7 linked regions of the Cricetulus griseus genome follow. The main gene of each other region encodes a partner of the protein of the gene in region 7 in a complex. Links are inferred from orthologs where the notes say so. Each region holds a gene or a part of one and is shown on either strand. Other genes may lie near its edges. The genes, in order: Vamp7, Stx5, Bnip1, Stx4, Stx7, Vti1b and Stx18.

What was found.
Region 1: Stx18 (region 7) and Vamp7 share a complex: the UniProt entries of both Homo sapiens proteins name them as parts of the SNARE complex. The link is inferred for Cricetulus griseus from reciprocal best matches to the Homo sapiens genes STX18 and VAMP7.
Region 2: Stx18 (region 7) and Stx5 share a complex: the UniProt entries of both Homo sapiens proteins name them as parts of the SNARE complex. The link is inferred for Cricetulus griseus from reciprocal best matches to the Homo sapiens genes STX18 and STX5.
Region 3: Stx18 (region 7) and Bnip1 share a complex: the UniProt entries of both Homo sapiens proteins name them as parts of the SNARE complex. The link is inferred for Cricetulus griseus from reciprocal best matches to the Homo sapiens genes STX18 and BNIP1.
Region 4: Stx18 (region 7) and Stx4 share a complex: the UniProt entries of both Homo sapiens proteins name them as parts of the SNARE complex. The link is inferred for Cricetulus griseus from reciprocal best matches to the Homo sapiens genes STX18 and STX4.
Region 5: Stx18 (region 7) and Stx7 share a complex: the UniProt entries of both Homo sapiens proteins name them as parts of the SNARE complex. The link is inferred for Cricetulus griseus from reciprocal best matches to the Homo sapiens genes STX18 and STX7.
Region 6: Stx18 (region 7) and Vti1b share a complex: the UniProt entries of both Homo sapiens proteins name them as parts of the SNARE complex. The link is inferred for Cricetulus griseus from reciprocal best matches to the Homo sapiens genes STX18 and VTI1B.

Annotation. Positions count from the first base shown.
Region 1 is NC_048604.1:56,004-60,033, forward strand, and holds the start of Vamp7 (vesicle-associated membrane protein 7), read right to left. Parts: upstream 2,801-4,030; 5' UTR 2,648-2,800; intron 1-2,647. UniProt on the Homo sapiens protein: Involved in the targeting and/or fusion of transport vesicles to their target membrane during transport of proteins from the early endosome to the lysosome. Required for heterotypic fusion of late endosomes with lysosomes and homotypic lysosomal fusion.
Region 2 is NC_048596.1:51,355,579-51,359,638, forward strand, and holds the start of Stx5 (syntaxin-5), read right to left. Parts: upstream 2,801-4,060; 5' UTR 2,655-2,800; intron 2,488-2,654; exon of another isoform or gene 1,979-2,487; 5' UTR 1,957-1,978; coding exon 1,732-1,956; intron 1,389-1,731; coding exon 1,318-1,388; intron 1,157-1,317; coding exon 1,101-1,156; intron 883-1,100; coding exon 812-882; intron 1-811. Other genes in the region: testis-expressed protein 54-like, read right to left, coding at 3,067-3,278, 3,409-3,487; Wdr74 (WD repeat-containing protein 74), read right to left, coding at 3,684-3,860. UniProt on the Homo sapiens protein: Mediates endoplasmic reticulum to Golgi transport.
Region 3 is NC_048600.1:47,012,878-47,016,377, forward strand, and holds part of Bnip1 (vesicle transport protein SEC20), read right to left. Parts: intron 1,710-3,500; coding exon 1,608-1,709; intron 460-1,607; coding exon 341-459; intron 1-340. UniProt on the Homo sapiens protein: As part of a SNARE complex may be involved in endoplasmic reticulum membranes fusion and be required for the maintenance of endoplasmic reticulum organization. Also plays a role in apoptosis.
Region 4 is NC_048596.1:72,932,671-72,936,629, forward strand, and holds the start of Stx4 (syntaxin-4), read right to left. Parts: upstream 2,801-3,959; 5' UTR 2,670-2,800; coding exon 2,640-2,669; intron 2,479-2,639; coding exon 2,377-2,478; intron 2,321-2,376; exon of another isoform or gene 2,299-2,320; coding exon 2,199-2,298; intron 2,058-2,198; coding exon 1,983-2,057; intron 1,122-1,982; coding exon 1,051-1,121; intron 1-1,050. UniProt on the Homo sapiens protein: Plasma membrane t-SNARE that mediates docking of transport vesicles. Necessary for the translocation of SLC2A4 from intracellular vesicles to the plasma membrane.
Region 5 is NC_048595.1:243,359,580-243,363,652, reverse strand, and holds the start of Stx7 (syntaxin-7), read right to left. Parts: upstream 2,801-4,073; 5' UTR 2,672-2,800; intron 1-2,671. UniProt on the Homo sapiens protein: May be involved in protein trafficking from the plasma membrane to the early endosome (EE) as well as in homotypic fusion of endocytic organelles. Mediates the endocytic trafficking from early endosomes to late endosomes and lysosomes.
Region 6 is NC_048598.1:124,471,015-124,473,826, forward strand, and holds part of Vti1b (vesicle transport through interaction with t-SNAREs homolog 1B), read left to right. Parts: intron 1-1,109; coding exon 1,110-1,283; intron 1,284-2,812. UniProt on the Homo sapiens protein: V-SNARE that mediates vesicle transport pathways through interactions with t-SNAREs on the target membrane. These interactions are proposed to mediate aspects of the specificity of vesicle trafficking and to promote fusion of the lipid bilayers.
Region 7 is NW_023276807.1:107,058,155-107,061,654, reverse strand, and holds part of Stx18 (syntaxin-18), read right to left. Parts: coding exon 3,437-3,500; intron 3,272-3,436; coding exon 3,205-3,271; intron 1-3,204. UniProt on the Homo sapiens protein: Syntaxin that may be involved in targeting and fusion of Golgi-derived retrograde transport vesicles with the ER.

The sequences.
Region 1 (4,030 bases), on a different chromosome or scaffold from region 7:
AAGTGACATAAAGATGACATTACAGTTTAATGAAACAATCTCATCCTGAAAATTTATCTTAGAGAACAGTTTAAGAGAAACTAGACTCTAGACTCACAATTATAATAATAACAACAACCCATATTAAGTATTCACCTTGTAACAGACACCAGTTTAAGTACTATGATGAGACTTTAAATCATGTTGGGTAGCAGAATGTGTCACTTGACACAATCACTTAAAATCAAATTTTTAAGACCGAGCTCAAATTCTGAAAACTATATTTAAATAATCTGGCCTAGATGAGCCTATAAGAAAATATTTCATATAACCATATTTGATTAGATGAAGTAGAAAACTATTAAGTGGTTGGGTTCAGGGAATTTGCTGAGCCCTGATTAGAATATCAGCACTGAAGGACAGTACATAGAGCAAAAAGGCATTCATCTATCATTTAAGCTGAACTTCTAGTAGTATCTTGTCTTCATTCTTACTGCCTAAATAAATTTGTTCCCTAGAGTTATGTCTTCAGTAGTCTGCGTTCCAGAAGCCTCTGAACAAATATGTATAATTATAATTTCCAAACCAGTGTCTCATATTTTTATCTCTCTTTATCTAAAAGACTCCCTTGACCATGTATCACCACTCTGCAGTTATAATTCTATTTCTTAGACTTTTGTCTATATATTATCTTTGCTTCTCTGTCTCCTTTTAACTCCTTAATTTACTATATGCTGGCTTTTGCCCTTAAAAATGCAAAATATAATGCTTCCTAAAATCACTAACAGTCTCCCTCTATGATATAAAATAATGATCATTTTTCTATTATCACCTTACTTAATTTCAAGAGCCATCAACATGCTAACTGATTCTCATTCTTGAAACTTTCCTATGTATTTGGCTTCTCTAGCTTTCTTCTTGATGACTTTTCCTCCCCTAACTCATCACTAAATAGTAAATTCCCCAAGGAATTGATTCTATATCCTTTATCAAAGATGAGCTCATGTGGATTTGACATTTAAAATATAATTTATAAAAGATACACTGTGTATAAAAGAATAGGGTCAGTGATAAACCCAAGACATAACCAATAATTAAGGGGAAGATTAAAAACCCAAGACATAATCAGCTTAAGGGAATCATAATATAAAGGGAGACAGACATAAATAAATACAATAAGGTGTAGAGAATGAATAAACTAGGAATGACTACAATTGTTTAAACTGTTCAAAATAAGATTATGCAATTATGTGATGCTAATCTTGAATAAAAGAATGACTATGTATGTATCATAATTTTCCTCAGTATACTGTTAACATTTCTCCTTAAAAGATAAGTCAGATTGTTTGTTTTACCCTATCTTCCCAATTCTCAGCACAATACCTAGCACAGAATATTTATCAAACAGTTAAGTGAACACTGGGTACACTTATAATATTATACCTAGAGATAACTTTATATTCTATAGAAACTGGCAAGAAGAGTATTTTTTTTTACTACCAAACTCTCTCCCTAATTCAGGTAAGACAGTTGATTGATAATAATCCAATCACCAATTGTTTATTCTGAGACATTAGCAAGAAATAAATCAATGGCAGATAAACCACGATTTGTGGTTTATTACAATTTGTTGGATAACCTTGGAACGGGTAGCAAAGGAAGAACACTATCAAGGAAGACAATTAAAAAGAAGGGGTGTTGATGAAGAGTCAGGTTACAGATCAAGATTACTCTTGTTGCTATTACAAGCATTGTTTCTCAAAAATGATCTGAAGTCCAACTCAATCCCTCTCACTTTTTCAGGACAGGATTTTATTCTGTCAAGCAAACTACCTTTAAAATTTTGCATTAACAAACATAAACCACCATACTGATGTATTATTCCTCTCATCCCTGTCCCCCAAACATGTAAGTTTCTGGATTAGTCACCTCCTATGTCTTTTTACTATCAATGTATCTCATGCACTTAAAGGAGTATCTAGTGTGTGTTCATTCTTTAATAACTATATATTAAATATATTGCTTCCAGCCATAGCTATTCAAAGGGAAAGAATTTTTTAAAGAGAATGGTGATGCATGTCATAAAGTGCGATTAATAAAATCCCAAGAAAAAGACTTGATAATTCATTTGCTATGAGAGTCAGAGCCATATTAACCAAAGAGTAAAGTATATGATCAATTTGGTAAATATTGGCCATCAATAAAAATAACAGTAACACGCTCAAACAATAGGCTTGAGTGGAGATCTACTGCCTACTAGAACTGAGAAAGGAATGTCAATACTGCTAAGGGTGTGTGGAGGATAGGAATTTACAATAAGCATGAACAGAAGGAGAACAAGAAACAGAAAGTGATGTCGGTGAACATGGGTGAAAGAGCTTTTTGGCTATAGAAAAGTCTGCAGAACGCGAATGAGAGAAAAATAATATTTCCTACCCTGTAATTACAACTTAAACGAAGCGTTCTGACACTAACCGAGACCTCTTTAGCTGAGTAAAACATGCTTTGCCAAAACTGAACCTGCTCAACAATTAGAACTGTAGACAAAATAAAAATTCAAGTCACACTTGCCCTGCCTTTTACTCCACCCTGGCACCTTCCAGTTTACACTTCCGCTCTCTCTCCGAATTGTCTCCTCACCTCCCGCAAAATGCCCCACTCCCTTTACCTGTCAAGGTACCCTCTAGCGGGCACTCCCGCTCGGGCCAAGGTGCGCAGGTCTTCCCAGTGTCGCCCACTGCCGGAAACCAGAGAAGGATGGGACTTGACACCCAAGCTTCCGTGCAAAGCGCCCCGCCTATATGTGGCCTCCTGGGAACGTGAGCTCTCCTCCAATGGGAGTGGGCTAGAGGGCGGGATCCCAGACGTTCCCTACCCTCCGCACTTCCCAGGGCCCATACTGCACTCTGGGAGTAGTAGTTCCGACTATAATGTCACCACGTCTTCCTTAGTCCGGTCAACAGCTCCTAAAACAAAATCTAATGCTGTACCATTTAATACCAGAAAACCAGAGAATGCAAGCCAACACAAGTAGTCTACCGGTATAATCAGCAGGATAAATGAGGAGCTGAGCTTCCCCCGCCATTTCCCAGCTGATTATCAGGGATGATGTCGCCTGTTCATAGACAAAACAGAATTTCTCTGACAGGAACCCCTTGTCCCTTCGTTATGAAAAAAAAAATTAACTTCCTTGTGTTACTCACCAATCATTTTCCCCATGCTTTGGCCGCAAAAATAACAGCAGCAGCAGCAGCAACAACAACAGTAATCAGCAGCAGCTACTTTCCTGTGGTTTGAATCTGCTATACTACTATATCCTTTTACTTCTTTGATGAACACTTCTTTCTCATTACCACCTCCACCTCCGCAGCTACCCGTACAAGCTCCCAGTTTCCTGTCTCTTTGTTACCTTCACTTAGAGACCCTGGAGTTTTCTCTTTTGAAAAACATTCGAAAGTCACCCTTTTCAATCCCATACTTCCAGCCTCCTCACCACACACTTGAGTGTGGTTCTCCAAACTCTCCATTTAATACAAAGTTCTCAATGTTGCTAAAAAGTACTTTTCAGCCATTGCTATAATTCAACTCTGCAAAATACATATTCTGAATTTTATCTCTTTTAAAACCTTTGTTTCCTAAAATCTAGTCTTCAAAAGATACTACCGTCACAGGTTTGCTTCCCACCTCTATGCCAGCTCATTTACTTTCGGAGTTTACATGTTGCTTAGACCTCTGGCCTGCACTTTGTTTTCTTAACCTTCACACTTCTTGGTTATATCAGCTATCCCCATTGCATTGCTGGCATTCATATCTTGATGATTCTCATTTACACAGTGAAAGGATTCAGGCATTATGCTGGTCTGCTCCTGTCACCTGGCAGAATGCACTCAGGCAGTACTCTGGTCAGCCCAGAGTCCATGAGTACTAGTCTGCAAAGGACCCCTTTAAAAGACAGATCCCAGGCCGGGTTGGTGGTGCATGCCTTTAATCCCAGCACTCTGGAGGCAGAGGCAGGCGGATCTCTGTGAGTTCGAGGCCAGCCTGGTCTCCA
Region 2 (4,060 bases), on a different chromosome or scaffold from region 7:
AAGTTCAAGACTAACCTAGTCTATACAGCAAGTTCCAGAACAGCCAGGGATATACAGAGAAACCCTGACTTAAACAAAAATACCAGACTGGGCTATATATCTAGAGTCTTGAAACCAAAACAAAGAACCTGCTCCTGAGGTATCTGCAAATCTTTTGCCCTGCCCCTTTGTTTTTTCCTTCTCTTTTAGAAAAGTAGAAAGGATACAGGGAATGAAATCAAACAAACGTAAGGTAATTATAGAGAATAAACTTACAACTCTGGCTGTCCTGGAGCTCACTCTGTGGACCAGGCTGGCCTAGAACTCAGAGATCTGCCTGCCTTTGCCTCCAGAGTGCTGGGATTAAAGGTGTTCATCACTACTCTCAGCTGACCTTCCCCCTTTTCTAATCAACACCTCTGTAAATAAACTCCTCAGACTGGTAAGTCCTTCTATTTCCTCTATATAACCTCCGAATCCAGTTCAGATTTCATATCCTCTGTCAATCTTTCCCAGCATACTATTTCATTCATCTTTTTGTAAAATCTTTTCTATACTATCACTTACTCATTTTAAGCCTAGGCTCCTGATGCTGGGTAACTCTTAAGAAGAATGAACCCTTAAAGACAATAATCTTGCTTCTCATTTGTTCCATCAGCATACAGAACAGTACTTTACAAATGCTAGATGATCCTAAGTGTCTATGGACTCAGTGGAGGAGCAGGGTGTTTGGACATGGGTCTAGATACTTACCCTGGGGATTCATGGCGATGGAAAATGATGGAAGTAATCTAATTAGAATGCTGGGCTCTCCTGATGGCTAGCAGCTCACCTGTTTGATGATGTATGTTAGCTCCTCAATTTCTACTGCTTTATCATCAAAGAGGGACTTGCGCTTTGCCACTGCAGAGACAGATGAAGTGTTACAACAGGTGATGGTAATAACAAGGCTCAAAGGGCTAAGAATACAGTTCAGTGGTAGAGGCACTTGCTTTAATGCACAAAGTCCTAGTTTAAAATCCCCAGCACCATAGGAGAAAATAAAACAAAAACTGCACGATCCTCACTTCCTAGTACTATGTTTCACTGTCCCATCTAGGAAAGATCTACCAAACACTCACAGATTGTTAGCTTCTCCAGCTTGGCAAATGTATTGCTGAGATCTTTTCCAATGCGCCTGCAAATGATCATCAGTGAGAAGGCTGTGGTAAAGGGCAGGAAAGAGGCTAATTCCCATAAGCTCCAACACAACCAATCCCATTCAGCCTAACCAACACAGGCAAATTAACTTCCTAGACATTGTATTACCACCCCCCCCCAAAGACTCTCTTAACTCACTTGGCCATAAGGGTAAATTCACTGCGTTGTCTGGCAGCCCGTAGAGCTGGTTTATTTGTTTGGATTCCATTCTGAAAGGTAATGTCAAAAAGTGGATACTTTAGTTCTCTTCACTATTCATGCTCAGCTTTTCACTGCTCCCTCACATATCCACTAAACACTCCAGTGCTGTTGGCATCAGACAATCTAAATTTATCAGTGGTTTATAGCTAAGAAAAAAAAATTATATGTAGGTTTAAATCTTGACTCATCGTTCGTGGTATTTAATCTTTTCTTAATCCCTGCTGAAGACAATTCCTCCACTCCTATTGGTAAGATTCGCTAATCTTTGTTGTAAAGTAAATTTAGACAACTAGCAGACAAAACGTAAGCATTAATTAGGCTCACACCTGCCTTTCCACTCCAGGTCCTTACCTGACGGCTCTGCAGCGACTTACAGGCAGACAGGAACTCCTGGGTCCGATCCCGGCAGGACATGGTGTCGGGAGGGGAAGGGACCAGGGCCACCGGGGTGGGCAAAGGAGTGATGTCGCTGCTGCTACTGACAGCAGTTGCAGGGGACAGAACCTGTGTCTTTGAGAGACCCAGGTAGACACCCTGATCTGTGTTCTTAGATCCGTAGCGTTTCCGCGGGATCATCGAGTCGCATAACCTCGGACTGCTGTGGAGAGGAGAATGTCATTCTCCAGACAGCCTCGTTCCCCAAAGCTTTCCCCTCAACTAGCAAATCCTCAGGCCCTTTCCCGTATTTGACAGGCTTTCGAGCCCAAGGCCACCCGTAGATCTTGCAGCCCGGCCACGGCGAGAAGGGTCAGCTTCCTCCAGGCCCAAGGCGAAGCCTCCTCAGAATCTCCTTCCAACTTGGCTCTGACGGCCAAAGCACCGGCTGGGGCCCTAAAGTCGAGAAAACAGCCAAAGCCTGGTCCTGCGGCCCTGAGCCTCCAGCCAGACCTTTGCAGTTGGCCCAGATCTTAATCGTGCCCTCTGGTATACGTGACTTCCTTAACTCCCTCACGGAAAAACGGCAACCGACCTCCAAAGGTGGACACACTTCGGTGGGCGGAGGGGGGGAAAACCTCTTTAAGTGTTTATTTGAAACAGGAAGTCCCACCTCCATCAAAGTTCCGCCTGTTGGAAGACTGCAGCCACTGATTGGACAGGGCCGGCGTCTTTCTCAACAAGGCCTTTCCTGATTGGACAGCAAGGTATTCGCTTACGCGGAGCCGCCAGCAGGGCTTGCCCATGGCTCCCTTCTCCCCCCTCCCCCACCGTCAAGCCGCTGCCCCCGAGCTGAGACGACCGACAGAAACTGGCCCCCTACCCCAACGAAGCCCTACCTCCTCTGTTGCCTACCGCCGCCGCCACTGCCACTCTCTCCAGGCCGTCGCCGCCTCCTCGCTGGACTTGTAAGCCACCCAAATCGGAGCAAAGAGCAGGAGCCGCCACGTCACCCACACGTAACCCCACCCCCGTGACGTGATGCCGCGCCACGCCTATTTTTTTAAGCCCAGAGACAGGAAGAACACACCTCTGCCCTTGCATGCTCGACTCCGCTCTCCTATTGGTTAAACTGCCGCTGTGGCCCCGCCCCTGAAGAGCAGAAACAGATCCCAGAGGGCTGGGCCAGAGGAGTCTTAAAGAGCCAGCGCCTCGGCGCCTACAGATGTGGAGGCAGAGGCATGTTTTCGGCAGATCCACAATATTAATTTTATTCTCTGGATGTTGGGGAGGACGAGAGCAGGATTGGAGTCAGCCCTTTTCTGGTTCCTTGTGGCTTCCCTCACGTTTGCGCTCCTGGATCTGACTCTCCTGCTTTTGAGTCAGGTCTGAGAGCCTCTTGCTTGACCGTGAGGACCCCCGACGGCTGAACATGGATAGCCTGCGCCACAGCACGGTGATCAGAAGACTTTCGTTAGATCTTTGTTTGCGGCGGCCTGCGTTGTCCAAATTGACTTCGTTGTCTGCAAGGGCCACGAGGCCACTTAGTTCAGTTCTCCTCTCTAGTCCAGTCTCTTTAGGCCGTCCATTCTGGGCACCTCCCACTCCCATTCCCAATCCAGCTCCCTGACCCTTTTTTGAATCTGGGCCTACCTTGCCTACCTTCGTCGGTCACTTCCTCCCTTGCATGCTCATCAGAGGTCTGATGGTCCTTGTCTTGACAGCAGCCCATGGCCCCGAGAGGCGCAGGACTCTGCCACCCTCCCCAGCCTGCTTAGCTCTGGACCCAGCTTTTGTGACGTCAGGTCTCCCACAGCCCGGGTGAGGGAACCCCTCCCACCCACAAGCCACCTCTCCTTTCTCCCATCACAAAAGGTTCAGGGTCTCTGTGTGTGTTGGGCTGTTTATTAACAAAATAGCAAAAGTCTTCAAGGACTGGAGGATCCAGGCCGCTTCTTTTTTTTTCTTGTTTGGAGAGTCCCTTGTATCTGATTTAAATCAGGGAGCTTCCGCTTGGCATTTGCCTCCAAAGATGCCCAAAGTTCATCTGTCTCTGTGTCTTCTGGGGGTACCATGTTGGGCTCTTGAGGTTCTTGGGGCTCATCCTGATGAGTGAGAAAGAAACTCAGGAATCAGGGACAAGGAAAGAGATTGGCAGAAAAATAATTTCTCTGGACACCACTACTTTGACCTAGAAACCAGTGCAGTTGTGTTCTGGAGTCCCTCACCCTCAGCAATAAGGCTATACAGGGTAGAGCATCCCTCAGGGAAATTAGGTTACAGTAGAGAGACAGCCCTGGTCTAT
Region 3 (3,500 bases), on a different chromosome or scaffold from region 7:
CAGTAATGGTCTTGTCAGTGGTCCTAATTCCCAAACCTGTCTGGCAATACTAAGCCCACAAGCCAATGCTTAAAAACCAGACTCCTGAACCCCTTGCAAGCATCGATGACAGACCCCATCTCCAGAGAGACTGCCATTCCTGCTTTTCACATGAGCCTAGCAATGCTTCCTCAGGGGAGCACTGATGGCAGGAGGCATGTCAGCACAGCTGCATAGCTGGAGGAGACAAAGAGCAGCATCTACCCACCATCCTGTCCCCCCCCCCCCAAAGGACCAAACTGCCTTGCCATGTCCTGAGGCACAGTTTGGGTGTGCGCTCTGGAGCAGCTTCTCTCCTTACCTAGAGTCTGCATAGCCTCTTCACTCTGCTGCACCTGCTGTGACATCATCCTGCTGATCCCCATGAGGCTCTCTGTGATGGTGCTAGATGTCTGTGCCAAACTCTCTTTGGTAGTTTTCCTGAAAGTTCAGAGGAAGGAGCAATAACTACAAATCCTAGCTTGTAAAAAGCACCATCTTAACCTATCACATCAGTGCTCTTTCTGTTTGTGCTTTGAGATGGGGGTCTCACAATGTAGCTCAGCCTGGCCAAGAGGGCAGAATGTCCTCGTCTCAGTCCACCCCCCACCAGTGAGTGCTAGGATTACAGGTATGTACCACATAGCCAGCTAGCATATATTCCTTTCTTCTTCTTCTTCTTCTTCTTTTTTTTTTCAAGATAGGGTCTCACTATGTAGCCCTGGATGTCCTGGAACTGGCCCTGTAGACCAGGCTGGACTTGCTCACAAGGATCCACCTGCCTCTGCCTCCCAAATGCTGGGATTAAAGGCATGGGCTATTACTGCCAGCTTGCACATTCCTAAACCATCAGTGTGGCTAAGGATGTATGCTGAGCCCACGTTCTCAAGCCCTGCTGGGAGGAATGGAAACCATGCTGCTGTCTGTAAACCAATTTGCACTAAGTACAAAGAGATTAGAAATGTTCATTCACTCCCAGAGAACTTATTGAAGGAACTGGATGAAAACCTGCATTGATGCAGCATACGATACTGAAAAGGCAGAAATGCCAACACACCAACAGGACTGGTTAATAACATAGATATTATGCATGCACAGTTAAAAGAAGAGTCTTAAAAATTGTCAGGGAGGACTGGGAGTTAGCTCAGTGGTGGAGCATTTGCCCTTCATGCATGAGACCCCAGATTCAACTCCTACTACTACAAAAAACAAAACAAAAACAACAACAACAAAAAAAAATCGAGCAAACAAAATCCCAAAATCAAAAACCAATTTTAGTCAAATTTAGTCTGGGTTGGGGATGATTGGTTGATAGAGTGCTTGCCTAGTATGCACGAAGCCCTTGGGTAGGTCTCCAGAACCGCATAAACTTGGTGTGGAGATGCACACCTGTGAGATCTGAAGTTCAAGGCTATCCTCAGCTACACAGCAAGTTTGAACCAGATGGGGATGTATGACACCCAGTCGCAAAAAAAGAAAAAAAAAATACTTATGCATTAACATAAAGTACAAATGTTATGAAAACAAAAGGCCACCTCACATGGCGCTTAGATGTGTTATCAGAGCCCAAAGGGACAAAAGGAAGATACCTTTGCCTTAAGAGGTCTCCTCCCTGCATAAGTTCTGCTTTTTCCAGGTTGTCAATGGCAATTTTGCAGGTAAGATTGGCTTTCCGCCATGAGGTCTGGTTGCTGGAAGAAGAAGGGTCACACATGAGGTTCTGGTGTCACCACCAGGTTGCTTGGCCTAACCAGTCCACTCTCCCAGGTATGACTCAGAGTTCAACCTCATCCCTCTCCACTTCCTCTTCTTGGTAGCCCTGGTAACTACTTTAGCATAGGTTCTAATATCTCTCCTTTGAACCTCTGGAAAATGTTTCCAGAATGGTCTGTCACTATCCCTCTTCTGCTAGGCAGTTGGGAGACCAGGGAAATGGCACTCTACTAGACACAGACCCACAATGGCTTTATTGCCTGACAAGTGTCTTTGAGAACCATGACCTAGCATTCCTCCTCCATACCTAGTACTGGAACCATCACTTATACCTCTTGCAGTGGCTGTTAGAGTGGTTAAAATCCCAAAAGCCAACATTCCTCAACATTCCTCCAAGGCTTGCTATTTTTGTCTATTTGACACCAGTCACAGACACTACAAATATCACAGGGCACCCTGACTGGTGTGATTTATTCACATTCTTCACCTGCTCCTTTGTAAATGATGTCTCAAGTATAAGCAACACGAGATCAGCAATCCATTTTTCACTGACAAACAAGAAAAGCCAACCATATCCCTCTGACAATCAAATCCATGCTTTGGAACTCTCACACAGCAGCTCAAATCAACTGAGCTAAGCTCCAGACACACAAAATACTAGAACAGAGTGCTTAACTAATAGGGTAAATTTCTTTAAATTAAAAAAAAAAAAAGTATGTGTCTATGATTGGGGTGGGGGAGCATTCCGCAACACATGTGTGGAGGTCAGAGGACAATTTTGTGGAGCTGACTTTCTCCTTCCACCTTTTTTTTTTTCTTTTTCTTTTCTTTCTTAAGACAGGGCTTCTCTGTGTAGCCCTGGCTGTCCTGGAACTCCACTGTGTAGACCAGGCTTGGCCTTGAACTCAGAGATCCTCCTGCCTCTGTTTCCCAAGTGCTAGGATTAAAGGCACTCTTCAGCTGGGCTCTCAGATGCTGAACAGCACCTCCCAGCCCATTCCACACCTGCCATTTCAAACAGTTAACATCTTCAAACTGTACACAACAGTGTTCTGCAAGGCTCAGGGTTGCAGAGCTGAGCTCCTGGTCTTCAAGGAGCTCACATTTATTAGGGAGGAAAGTAAGCAAATACTATACAGCTTGGCAAACCTGGTAACCTGATAAACATATCTGCTGCTTCAACATGAATTTCCTGTTTTCTTTCCTCAGACCTTTAAAACCACACCAGGAATAGGAAAACAGGAAAAATGTTTTGTTTTAAGCCCACACTAAACTGACAGTGTTTGGTGCAATTTACCACACCACACACACACACAAACTCCCTGTGAGTTCATGCTTACAATCTGAGAACCTCTGGTGGCACAAAAAGCCATGGCCAATGAGCCAGGCACACTTGCACTACTCACTCCCATGTCTTTGTCAGTCACTCTTAACAGCTGAGTGTTATTCACACAGCTGCTGTTAGTAAGCCTGCAGCTGGAGAATAACTCAACTCAGAAATGAAACCACAAACAGTTGTGACAAGGAAAATGTATGGGAATTCTGACATAGCAGATACTACTGAAATGGCCTTGAACATCATGAGGCTGGGAAAGGTGTGTTTGTAATGACCCTTTTGGACTATAGGACAAAAGTACAACCTGAAGGGAGAAACAGTGATTCATGTTGCCAGAAAAAAAGTTATATTCCCTGGTTTAGAGACTAAGAAATGGCACATACTGCTTTATAATCAAAGACTAGCACACAACTGCAATGTCACCAAAATCTCA
Region 4 (3,959 bases), on a different chromosome or scaffold from region 7:
TATGTGCCTTCATCTGTGGTATCCAAGGAGGTGGAGGGCCTCTTCCTAGAGCTGGAGTTACAGATGGTTGTGAGCCACCTGACATAGGTCACAGCTGGGAACAGCTGAATTCAGTTCCTCTGCAAAAGTGGTGTGTGCTAAGCCATCTCTCCAGTCCCTACATCATACGTTAATATATGTCTTTACTGTGTATGCACGGGGCAGGGCATGTGTGCCATGGCACATGTGTAGAAATCAGAGGACAACTCCCAGGAGTCAGTTCTCTGCACCCCATGGACCTGGGGCTGAATTGGGTTATAAAGCTTAGAAGCAGACACCTTTACCCACTGATCCGTCTTGCAGCCCCTCGCCATCTCTTAAATTCTATCTATGGGGCCAAGGATGTCCTTGCTTGTCATTTTAACTTACATTTATTTATCATTTATTTATTTATTTTTGGTTATTCAAGACAGGGTTTCTCTGTAGATCAGGCTGGCCTCGAACTCAGAGATCCGCCTGCCTCTGCCTTCACACTTGGCTCTTATTATTATTCTTTGATTTATGTGCATTGGTGTTTTACCTACATGTATGTCTATGTGAGAGTGTTAGATCCCCTGGAACTGGAGTTACAGATGGTTGTGAGCTGCCATGTGGGTGCTGGAAATTAAATCTGGGGCCTCTGGAAGAGCAACCAGTGCTCTTAATTACCATTTTTTATTTCTCTCTCTTCTTCCCTGAACAAAGCTATTAGTGACCAAGTCCTACATGAGAAATATCTTTGTTCCCTTTTCAGTCCAAATTCCCCATTTCAGTTTTGGGAAAATATGTCTCTCATAGCCAGGACAGAGTCATGTCTGACATAGCAAATTCTCTTTGAATGGCGGTGGCATGGTGTTATAATGGATTGAGAATTTTGTGACTGGGATCCTCTACCTAGACCAAATAAGCATAAAGGAAATTCATCAGGACAGAGATCCCAGATTCAACGGTCTGTAAGGGTTGCCCAGTCACCAGTTAGTAATCTAAGAAACACTTGATGAAATGTCCTAGTTCTAGGAAAATGAAACCAACCTGGGTTTTTTTCATTCTTGTGTTGACTGAGTTATAATTCTCATCAGCTTCTTCCTTCTGAGGCTCTATGGCTGTGGGAGAAATACGAGGGTTGATGGAAAGAAAAGCTTGCCCTGAGACTTCTAAAAATTGGCTGGGAGGCTAACTGATTTCTGTCTGGGCTAGCCTGATCTACCTACTGAGTCTCAAAAAATAATTAAAAAATTGAAAATACATAATAAAAAATTTTAAATGAATCAAAAAAAATTGTTTGGGTACCAGAATACAGGGCCACATCTACATTCCAGCCACATAATAAGGAAGTTCTTGTCTTCGTAGGATTTTTTTTTACAAAGTGACTTATGAGCAGGGATATATTTTAGTAGTGACACATGATGGAGGAGGAAGGGGGAGGAGGAGGAAAAAAGAAGGAACTAGGAGGAAGAAGAAAGAAGGAAGAAGGGGGTGAGATCAGCCAACTGGACCTGGTTACGGCAGGCCTTTAATCTCAGCATTCAAAAGGCAGGGAAAGATGGATCTCTGTGAATTTGAGGCCAGCCTGGTCTACATAGGAGGAAGAGGTGAGGGAGGGGGAGGAGGAGGCTAATTCTGATCTTCTAAGAGAAGTTTTTCTTTGTATTACATCAGTGGGTTCCCACAAGAGTGAAGGAGCCTCCTAAGAAACCCTCATCCATCTGCTCAAAGAACACACACTGGGCTTCAAGAACTGTAGCAGCAAGTAGTTTTGAATTTAGATGTAAAAATAGTAATAAAGGAATCTGAGAGGCCAGCATGTAATATATGCAAAGTACCAAGGCTTAGATGCCACAGGGCAGAGATCCTAGACCCAGACCTGCTCTGTGACCTGATATATCACTTGACTCCCCAGATACACGAGCATCAGGGCTGAATCACTGGGGATGATCTGGCTGAGGCCCTTGAAGTTCATTCACCTTTTAGCTGTGCCCGGACCTCTCTCCCCAGCTGTTTGATCTCCTCGCGCAGGTTCTGCAGGCCCTGCTTCATGCCTAAATGAGAGAAGGCCAACACTTCCAAACCACAGCCTCCACCACAAACCAAAACCAACCCCACCCCCGGCCAACATCTATATAGGACTACATCCCCCATAATCCACCGGGCTGGCGTACGTGAACCCGGGTTTCGCTTACTCTCCTCGGGAAGGGGCGTGGCCAGAATGGTGACCTGCTGTTTCTCCAACTCCCGGACTTTACTCTCCAGTTTGGCCATAGTTTGCCGAATTGCCTGGACCTAGAGAGGATCACCAAGGGAACTGAAGACATAAGTGGTACTGTAGTCCTCCCTACTGCTCGGTCCTCCGGGCCTTACCTTCTGGAAGAACTCGTCATCTGGGCTGCCCAGCCGGGCGGTACCTGGGTGCACCACCAGCGCGACTCGAGCCTCATCTTCGTCGTCCGAGCTGTTGTCCCCCTGCCAGGGCCGGAGTCATTGGCACCACTCGCTCGCCGCGGTTCTCGCCCCGCAGGAGCTATGGGCTTCCGGGATTTTCCTTCCTGGCCGTCAGCCACCCCTCCCGGACCCCAAACCAGGAGTCCTCAGTCCTGCGCGCCCGCCGGGCCCCAGCTCCTCACCTGCCTCAGCTCATGGGTCCTGTCGCGCATGGCGGCCCGAGCGCCCGGTCCCTGGACCTGAGCCCCGAGGGCCTCAAGGTTCTAAGTTTGGAAGTCCTGCACGAGCTCTCTCTCACTTGACACCCCCTTCCTCACCCTGCGAACCCCCAACGCCCCCACGAGCCCCCAGAGGTCCCGCCCCTTTCACCATGCACAGTCGCCGGGGAGAACCCGACCATAGGACCCCCAAAGTTCTACAGGTTGGAATTCCCTTCTCTTCCCCCCATCCTGCTCCCGCAGCCGCAGCCCCGCCCCTCGGGAGGATGACTCGGAGCATGCGCACGAGGTCTTGTCTCTTCCTCGCTAGGGGGAAAAGGCGGAGGTCGGAAGCAGTCGCGGCCGAACGGAAGCGAGGCCGCCTGGATCGAGAGCCCGTCCGCCCCCCCCCCCTTTCTACCGGAACATCTCATATTGGGACTGGAATCTAGTTGCCCAAAGGGTTGGGGATGCGTCATTTGCACGCAGTCTGAGAGCCTCGTATCTCACATCACCCCATGGCGCCCCCTCATCACGTGACAGACCTGGCCCCGCTCCGCCGGCTGCACGCCCGACAGCCGGTCACGTGTCCCGGCGCTGTCAGCGACGTCTCGGACTTCAGTCTCGCGACGTCCCCGATACCCCTGAGTCTGAGCTGTACCCCTTGCAGAAGGTGGGGAGGGGTACACCGACAGCTCTCAGCCACCTACAGAGGAGACCCTTGTAGACTTCACTTTCTGTTTTAATTTGGGGCCCTAGGGCGTGGGCGATCTGAAGACTTAAATTTGGGGGCTGTCAGTATCACGAGACCTTGAGAGTCAGAACATAATGAGATCGGAGGCTACAGCGTCAGAGGATTGCAGGGTTTTGTAGGCAGACAATCTGGGGGTGGGAAGTGACCTCAGCCAAGGTGGAACTCTTCCCCCTACACACCCTGCGTCCTCCTGGCACAGCCTCTGACAGGTGGGCGGCCTACGCCCTGTGTGAGCACTGCAGTCCCGCTGAGCTCGCCACCTTCAGATTTCAGAGCAGCTCAGACTGAGAGGAATGTATTGTTACCTCCGCAGCCCTGAAGTCCTAGCATGACTTGCTTTTCTTTTACGGAGTCCCCAGCACCAAATTCAGAGCTTGCTACATAATAGGCCCTCACAGCCTTGATCCGAATAGGAGCCTTTCATGTATCTGAAACTAAAGCCTGTGGCTTCTCTCACCGTCCCATTTCCCCAGGTTTGTCTCTCTGGACATATTTATTGGGCACATACTATAGAGCAGATATGTTTTAGGGGCTGGTGACACATCAGAAGC
Region 5 (4,073 bases), on a different chromosome or scaffold from region 7:
ACGACATTCAAAAGACAAGAGTTGGCCCTTCTGATAAAATACAAATAAGAGGGACAATGCTATCTTTGCTATTAAAAAAACATACAAGTACATAGTTATCGATAAATGACTTAAAAGTTTATGACTTTTACAACTAAGCTAATTAATTCTATGTTTATACAATGTTTGTGCTCTGTAACCATCCCCAGTACCTAGCTTGAACTGCGAGACACTAAAGTATTCTTTTTATAAACCCATTTGGAATTCCTAGTGCCTTTGCAAAAAATAATTATATAACTCATCACCTGTACCTGCGCTGCCGGTAGAGTAGCTACCATTGACATGGACTATTAAAGTGAATTAAGTTACATGGCAGCCACCCAAGTCACCTTTCAAGTGCTCAGAAATTATATGCGGCCAGTGGCCAGCAGCTTGGACAGCTCACATATTCATTTCTATCGCCCCAGAAAGTTCTACTGGACAGCGTTCAACTCAACATCTTAGTAATTATCTTTTTATGAAGATATATAAGCACTATAAGGTGAAAGAGGAGACCGGAGATCAAAGTGCAACGCCCACAATGAGATCTGTCTTAAGACTGTGTCTAAAGAACAAAAAAGAAATGAACAGAGAAATTTTTGCTACAGAATATTGAATGTAAACTACTGCCCTGGAGATACTGCTGAATCCTTAAGACTTCCACTAAGTATAAACTGGTGTGAAATTCAGCCTGCTCAAAACAAATGGTCAGTTTCACTTTCTTAATCGTGCACACCATGGTAATACACTGGACTTCCTTCTCCCTTGTCTCCCACGGTTTTTATTTGTGTGTCTAGTGCTGTACTAGGTGGAGTGTAAATTGTGGACCTGTTCTATTCTCTAGTACATGGCTACAAAATAGGTCAGGAATCAATGTTTGTAGTGGGAATGAACAGGTTTACCAATTTCCTAAGAACACATACCCAGCCTGAGAGAAAATATTAACATTTCTAAAACACTAAATGACAGGTGTATTGCTGCTTTGGCTTTTCTGGGTGCCATTTTCCTATCTCTAGAAGGCCCCCCCCCACGGTGCTCACGTGAGCACCAGCTCCTTTTCTCAGCAAGCTGTTATCACATGCTAGAAACGCCAGAGGTGAAATGAGAAGTCACTGCTATTGCTCTCTGTCAATGTACCTTCTGCTTCAAACCATTTATAGTACTTAAAAGACCCAAAGATCCACAATGCTTATTTTCAGTCCCTAACACAAACAAGAGAGGGAACAATCATCGGACATAATCAATGGAAGTGAGGGCCTCCACCTTCCATCCGTTCCACAAGCTACCAAAGCACACTTCAGCCCAGCTCCTTCATCAGTTAAACTATTATGTTACACTATTTGGATTTAACTTACTTTACCAAGGATTTCCCACCATGGTTTTACCCATTAGTATTTCAAGTTACACTGAACCACAGCAAAATCCACTCAGACTTAACTGTAGGTGTTCCGTCTAATAATAATAGTAGACACAGCAATAATATTTTGCAATGCTGAGAACTGAACCAGGGTCTCGTGCACACTAAGCAAGCACTCCACCACTGAACTATGTATAGCTAATAATCGTGATCGTTAATAATTTCCAACCAGCAGCACTTGGACGAACTTGGGCTCATAATCAAAATTAGAAATGACTGCTAATCAGGAAGAATATAAGAAGTAAACTACCTGAAGGAAAAACGACGCAGACGAGTTAATACAGTGTCACATTAACTTCCCCAGACACTGGGAAACTACAGTCTAATTCTTAACTAGTCACAAGCCTGGGGCCAACTTCGGAAGCGGCAAAGCCAAAGGCTTTCACATGACAAGACACAATTTAACAGTTTTATCAGTCTCTGCCCAGTGCAGCTCAGAGTGCACATAAAAAAAAAAAAAAAAAAAAAAAAAAAAAAAAAAGCCTATATCCAACAGGACCAAATCGAACAGTGTTTCGCGGTTACTTCCTTTTTTTTTTTTTCTTTTTTCCTGATTGTGGACCACCTATAAATGACAATTATTGCCAGAATACAAGATCTGAAGTGTGTGTGTGTGTGTGTGAGAGAGAGAGAGAGATAAAATCCGAGACAGAGAGAGGTATATAAAATCCAAGCATATTACAAAATCTGAAGGGAAAATTAGCATTTGACTAGGAGGCTATCTCCCTCTCCACCCTTACCCAAGCTTTGTTGTTGTTGTTGTTGTTCTGAACTTAACCTAAAAAACACAGATGCGAATTCTTGAAATACTTTTGTTAAGGGTCTTGGGGGTAAATCAGTTAAAGCCATGCACAATTAAGGTCAAAGAAAGTTAGCTTGTGGAAGTCACCGCCAGCAGCACAGCAAACTCAAGGGGCCGCAGAAATAACCTGTGGCCAGATGACCAGGGCCCAGGGCTCTGACTTTTCTGTTCTGGAAGGGAAGTTGACAGAGAATGAGGAGCTGGCGATGGGATCGGCGCCCAAGGCTGACAGGCAGCCGGGGTTCCCTGCCGCGCACCCGCCCGGGAGTGCAAGCTCGTCGCGTCCCCGAGTCCGCGGCGGGGCGTGGGCGCCTCTTCTCGCCGGCCCCGCGCCCCCGGGGAGCCCGACTCTGCCGGCTCCCAAACACAGCCACCGCGGGCTGAGCTTCTGGGGCGCCCCTCCCGGACCCCCCGGCTCTGCAGCCTCCTCTTACCCTAACCCCATCGGCTTCCTTCTCCTTCTCCTTCTCCTTCTCCTGCAGCCGCTGTCACCCAGGGGCCCACAGCCCTCCGCAGCTAGCTTCAGCTGATGGGCGGTGGTGCAAGCCCGCCCACTGCGCATGCTCGGGGTACAGCCCAGGGAAGAAGGAGGCGGGGTTCGCTTCTCTCCCATTGGCCAATAACAGCTAAAGCTTGAAGGGACTAGCAAAATTGCTACGGAGCAATGCCTTGAAGCCTGACACACTGATGGTGAATGTCTACGTGCAAGAGAAGAAGGGATACAGGAGAGCTGTCTTCTTCACTCGGTGGCGCCATGCTCCCTGGACTCATACCCCATCAGCTCCTGCCAGTCCTGTTTCCTAACCCTCAACTCTGCAGTCGACTTTATTAACAACCTCATTTTAAAATGACACACACACACACACACACACACACACACACACACACACACACACACACACACACACACACACACACACAAGGTCAAGGCAATTCTGGCTGAATCCACGAAAGAACAAATGAAGAATCGCCTCTGGGTGCTCACTTGGTAAAGATGTTTTCTTAGCTCACGATCGTCCTCGCATCCTCGAAATACAGGAAGCAGTTTTCCCAGGCTTTAAGAGCACAGAATGTTCCAACAATGAGCATCAGTGGCTCGGGTGAAAGACATTCTTTGCAAAATTAAGACGGTGTTATTTTCTGAAAAGAGCATGAAAACATGTGATACCAAAGTACACAAGAGAGAGAGAGAGAGAGAGAGAGAGAGAGAGAGAGAGAGAGAGAGAGAGAGAGTTGAAGGGAATCCAGAATACTTCGAACCAGAACCACAGAGAAAAGTACGTTGGTTGGTTTTACACATGCAAGCATACATAGATGATTTAGGTCAGACTGATGCGCTCGTCTTCCAAGCAGGATCCACACAGTGAAGTGAGTACCCTGGTCAAAGGACAAACACCCAGTGAAAGCAATGTGATTCAGCTAGAGCCACTGTGAACTTTTGAGTTTGCTTTATTTTGTCAGGTACTGAAGATTGAACCAAGGACCCTGCACACGGAAAACAAAGGCCTTAACTGTGTCCTGTATCCCCAGCCTTTTGTTTGTGAAACAGGATCTTCATAGGCTGCCCAAACTAATCTTGATCTCACTCTATAGCACAGTCAGGCCTTGGACTTTCAACCCTGCCTTGTCCTTCTGAGCAGCTGGAACTAGAGGCCTGTGTCATTTGCCCAGGTTGTTTGAGGTTTTGTTTTCAGGTGCTAGAAACCAAACCCAAGGCCTCAAATTTTGGAAACATGATCCACCACAGAGCTATACCCGTAGTCCCCACTGTGAACTATTAGAAATATTAGCCCAATATAGTGACATTATATGTTTTTCATGATACGGAGGAAATTC
Region 6 (2,812 bases), on a different chromosome or scaffold from region 7:
GCTTTTTGTTTAATATAAGAATGTGGCAATGTCTCTGCCAAGAAAGAATGCTTTATATGGTCCCTAAGCCCTTAGTACCAGCCAAGCCCATCTTCAGCGAACTAATCATTTCCAGAGTTGTAGAGGCTAGTTTACTTGTGGCACTATTGAAGTTAAAGGGTAGCCAGGCATAATGACATGAACTTGGAGGTCGAGCTGAGAGGGTCATGAGTTTGAGGCCAGCTTGAATTACAGTAAGACTGTCTCAAAATATATACATATATATATTTAAGCAAATAGTTTTAAAGTTGCAGGCTGTTTGCATTATCAGGTGATTTTTGTATCCTGTTGCCCAGTTTGGGTGCTGACTGAAGTTGCTAGTAACGAACCAGTCCATGTTTATGATAGATTTCAACTTGTCCACAGGGAAAATGCTCCAGTGGTATTTCATTTGTTTTTTAAATCTCTTCTGTGTCACAGAAGTATAACAGGCAGTGGGATGTGCCTCTGTAGTCTGTGACCTTGAACAGGATCTTATAATTCATTAGTATCTTTGATTCTATTTTAAAAGCACAGCTGACCAGCTCTTTGTGCCTGCTGCAGCTGGATATTGAGCCTTGGATTAAATTAAAAATATTGATTCTACCAGCCTGGTCTACATAGTGAGTTCCAGGTCAGCCAGGACTGCACAGTGAGACCCTGTCTCAAAAAAATTCTAGTTGAGCGCGCCAGTGCCGTTTTCTAGCATCCATGGCACCCTGGTACACACATACAGATCTTTGAAAACTCTCTTATATGCCGGACATCTGACTTTTATCTGGCCATGATTCTCTTGAGCCAAAAATAACTTTACATAGCATTTACCTTTTATTAGGCATAATTAATCTAAAGATGATTTAATGTATTGGGAGGATGTCTATGTTAATATGCAAATACTATACTATTTTACATATGGGACTTCAAAAAGATTGGCCTAGAACCAGTATCTTGCAGGTATAAAGGAAAAACCATAATGAAATGATTGCTCACTATATTGCTTTTGCACAAGAAGGTGGTCATAAAGAATATATTGACAATAAATTTATAATGGAATAAACAAGTTTCACATGTCCCTTCCCTACTCCTGTCAGAATCGGCTACAGTCTCAAAGAGCATTGCTCCTACAAGGCACGGAAAGCCTGAACCGGGCCACCCAAAGCATTGAGCGTTCTCATCGGATTGCCACAGAAACTGACCAGATTGGTACAGAAATCATAGAAGAGTTGGGGGAGCAGCGAGACCAGTTGGAACGTACCAAGAATAGAGTAAGTCTGGGCAATGTGTGAAGTATGTGGGTCCTCCATATAAAGGCCAGATACTACAGGAGGCCTGAATTTTGGGAATACCCCGCCTAATACTATACTTAATTTTTAAATTGCTTGGCTAAGAAATCCCCCCTTATAATTTCCCATGGGCCATAGAGATGGGTCATGCAATAAAAGCAGCTCATATATCTGTAGCCCCAGAGTTGGGGGATAAGTATTAGAAACTGTTGGATCAGCCAGTGTGACTAAGTTTAATTGAAAGAGCCTTTCTTAGTAAGGTGGAGAGCAACCAAGGAAGGCGCCTCCATTCCCACAGATGTGCACATACCACACACACACAAAATGTGCATATGTGTATATATATTTGTAACTGGGTCTCGTTTAAGCCTGGCTGCTGGTCTGGAATTCACTGATCTTCCTACCTCCTAGGATTAAAGTTGTGTGCCTCTATGCTAGACCATAAAAGAAATTTTGTCCGTGAGATTTAGAAATCGTTAGTTTTATTTCTGAAGAATCTGATTTGTGCCACTCCCCCTCTCTTGCTTTATTCATTACAGGGTCATCAACATATTGTAATTTCAGATGTAGTGGCATATTTTTCTATTCTTAAAAAATGTGTATAGGTATTTTGCCTGTATATATGTCTCTGTACCACATAGGCCTGGTGCCTAAGGAGGCAAGAAGAGGACATCAGATTCCCTGGAACTGGAGTTAGATGGTTTTGAGCTGCCATGCAGGTCCTGTCAATCAAACTGGGGTCCTCTGAATAAGCAGAAGTGCTCTTAACCATTGAACCACCTCTCCAGCCCTTTTTTTTTTTTTTTTTTCTATTCTTAGGAAAATACTATCTACTTACAAGACAGTTATTAAACGGAAAGGTTTTCCCATATGTCAGAAATAGTACTACTGATAGTTTATTGGCTTATAAATTATATTTCAATCCCATTAGCCTAAGGTAAGTTGGTCTATTGAGGGAAGAAAGCAAAAATATGTGGGTTAACTGATGACCATATTAGGGTTCTCTGCTCTACTATGATTGTAAGAGGATTTGAGAAATTCCTTTTTCCTTTAAGTAAATGTGTTTGTTTACAACAAATTTAAAGAATAAAAAATGGTTTGCCTGTTGAATGTTACATTAATATTTGTCCTAAGGCAAATCTTAACTGAAAACTTTGTAGCCAGGATTTGGATAGGAAAAGTACTAGCTCATTGGCAGGATTTGAAGAAATTCTTGTACATCTTATTAAAGCGATTCCCCCATTTTGTTATTTTGTGCAAATTCACAATAAATTGCTAATCCCAATGTAAGCTATGAAGGCAAATTGCTAACAGATTGTCTAAGTTTTGGGTCTTGAGTATACTTTGTAGATTGGTTGAACTTAACACACCAAAGATTGATCTGAGATACAGCAAGGAACATCATTGAAATTTCCTTCTGCTAACTAGATTAGTAACAGGTAATCAAATGAGAAAGGCACATTGGGACTAATCCTTTCTCCATTAAGTGTAACCACTCAAGCAAGGATTAA
Region 7 (3,500 bases):
TCTAAAAGAAAAGCAGCATGAATTTCCTCCTTTGTACTGATGGCAGAGAACACTTAACAAAGAATGTGAGGGGGCTGTATAGCTGTGGATCACAGCAGTGGTTTTTGGTGTGTGTTGACCTGGGCAGAAGAAGGGCTTGATGCTCCTTTTAGGAAGTTGTCTTCATGACACACAGCCCATGCAAACAGATCTCTGGACACAAAGTGTTTCTTCAGTCCAACAATAGACTACATTGTCAGAGTAAGCTTTACTAGGACCACCAAGAATTCTGAATACCTTCAGAAAGACTTTCAACTGCAGGATCTGTGGTGGGGGACATGCTAGTAACACAACTTTAAGATACACTGATGAACTCGGCAGCTTCTGTGGAGTGATGCCTTTTGACCTTGTTTTGTAGCCTGCTATAATCTTTAGCCATCAGTTTTCATTCTTCTCAGATCTCCCTCAGACAGAGAATGCCCCCAAAAGTTTCCACTCATAAGAACCCCAGAAAAGTGAAGGGTTCAAATAATGGCCTGAATCCTGCAAATCTCAGAGCTAAGTCAGCTGGAAAGCACAAACAAAAGCCAACACTCACTGCACAGTATGGAAGGTACTTCTGCCCTAGCAGACAAGTCTCAGGCTAGTCTTGATTCTCAGAGGGCTACCTAAAGCCTCTTCTGGACGGAGAAAGAAAAAAAAAGGTCAATGACACACAAACTGCTTTTCTGGAGAGAACATGTTTCTGATTAGCCCAGATGATTTATTTCACCAGAGTGTGTGATGGCCATTTCAGCTTTAATCACCCCCAAATACCAGAGATCTAAGGAGACCAAGAGGAAAAGAGGTGGATTTCATATCCTCTGGGGATGTGTGATAGAGCCACTTGTGCCAATGCTTCATCCAATATTGTCCCACGTATTTCTAGTTTGTAAGCTTTTACTCTGCAACTCTATGAGCAAGAGTAAGTGACCATGCCCCATTTGAAGTCTCCTTCAGTCAGGAACCAACTACTTTATAGCAGGCTTTGATCAATGCACTGATCAGAAAGTCAGAAGATGCTGGTCTCTACCTCCAAACTTATAGGAAAAAGAGCAGAGAGATGTGATGCCCAGGGTAGTTATCCCTCTCTGGCTTGAGGCAACATGCGGCAGGTACCACTACTGTCAGCTCACAAAGCAAAATGCCATCAGGGTACATGAAAATAGGTATTTTTAATAATGCACCATCATTTACAGACAACATAGTCACTGTAGGAAAGTGTAGAGCAGTCAGCTGGGAATACTTCTGGCATAATGAGCAAAATATTTTCAGCAGTTTGAAATAAGAGCCCTTTGGTATGGTAGATAGATGTGACATCACTCTACAAGAACAAAAGCAACTACATAATACCATCCACACTTTTAAGATATTACAGTGAGCAATTACAGTGAGCAAGCTGCACTTTAACAAGTGTGTTTTCCTTCACCAGATAAAGGTGATAGTGACAACAATGCCACAGAACATGAGCAGCTAGACTCATAAAAACTTCTTAACTACAGCCATCAGCAACCCAAACAGAAACAGCCCACCAATGACAATTGCACACTCTACCCACTGGCATCCCCAAAGGACAGGCATTGTGTGATGGGCTGAGGTGTGTGAGGAGACATAAGTCAATAGTGACTGCATGAGTGTGTGTGTTGCACCTGGCCATGAACAACACATGAGGAGCCTACTAAGAAGGGGGACACAACACTGTTGGCAGCAGCTGGAACACTTCACAGGACAGGTGGTGTTTCAGTTGGGCTGGAAGGATGAGTATGGATTTTGTCCACCAGATGAACAGAGCAGGCTATGTGAAAGGTTCTATGGATGGAGAATTCAACAAGAACTGGGGACAAGAAAGGCAAAGCTCCTTTAGAACAAAGTCACACAGAGGCAGGCAGAGCAGATGTCACTGGTGATTGATTTAGAAACAAAAGCTATAATATAGTCACTATAGTTTTGAATTTGACATATTTAGCCTTTGTGATACCTGTGCATAAGGGAGGCAGGCATAAGATTATGTATGAAACTATACATAATAAACATGTATTGTATATAAAGGTGAAGAAAGACTAGAAAGAAGTCAGGGTGGTAACACATGCCTGCAGTTCCACAATCCCACCATCTGGGAGGCAGAGGCAGTATGATCAGAACTCAAGGCCTGCCTGAGAAATACAAGCCTAAGAAGAGAGGTCTGGGTCACACTGTGAAGAGTTACAGTTATTCTGAGGTCTCCAAGGTCTCCTGTTTAGGGTAATTGTGGAGAACAGCTATTTGGCAGGTGATTGATTCCATACAATTCCCATTTGACTGACATCAGTGGAAACTTCTGCTTAGAACCAAGGCTGTGTGTCTCTTAGTGTGATAGCACAGCAGACACAGCTGCTTCTCCTCTGGGGGGAAGGGGGGCTGTGAGAGCCAGTGACTGCTCTCCTTACCATACTGATAAGCTAAAGTTACAACACCAGAGTCGGACCTGCTCCCCTGGATCCTCCCTGGACAAACTGCAGCCATCATGCTTAAATGGGTATTGGAGTGGGGTAGGAGTCAGTGCACATGACATCTTGAATATATTATGTCATATTGTCAGTGACACAGGGGAGCATTCATCACCACGAAAACCCCTTTTCAGAAAAACTCTTTCAGAGAAGGAGGTATGGGGGGAGGACAAAGACCAAGGTCAATAGCTCTAAGTGTCCCACCTTACAGGATTATTAAGAAATGGGGTGAGAAGTTGGGTAGGTGACACACATCTATAACCACCTCACTCTGAATACTGAAGCAGAAAAAAATATGGGTTCAAGACCAGTTTGGGCTGCATAATGACTTTGAAGCCAGCATGTACTACATAGCCAGATTGACTCCCTGCTACTCCCAACAAAAAAAAAAAAAATAAAAAGAAATTACGTAAGTGCTCAATACCAGTTCAGCTGCCACGAGACTGTGGGGTCACATGAGCTTAAAACCTGCTGAACCACAGTGTTTATCTGGAAATGAGAGAACCTGCCTCATGGGCTGCTGTGGCTAACCGAGTGACCAGCACACTTGGTACATAGTATGTCTTCAGCTGCTATGACAGCATTTGGTGAAGACTTCATGCACAGAGGCCCACAGTGTCAGGGCGTGAGGAGCTCAGGCTGCCATTCTTGTTGCCCCTGTTTTAACTGAGGAAGGAAGAGCAAAGGTAGAAATACTCACAGTCTCTTCTTATCCACCACACGCTTAACTCGGATGGCTCTTTGTTCAGAGTAAAGCTTACATACTCCTGTTGAAGCAGAAAATACCAGAACAGAGAGCATTTAAAATGGCTTCTCAGGCAAAGGTATCATTAACACTAATGAGACACTATGGTCTTCAGCTAGCAAAGCTCTATTCTAAATTGCATCTCTTATGAAATGCCACATTTGACCTTTAGAAGAAAATGAAATACTTTTTAAGTAATCTTCAACGAAATCCAAAACCGCGGTCCTGTGTTCCTTCACTTGCTGGGAATG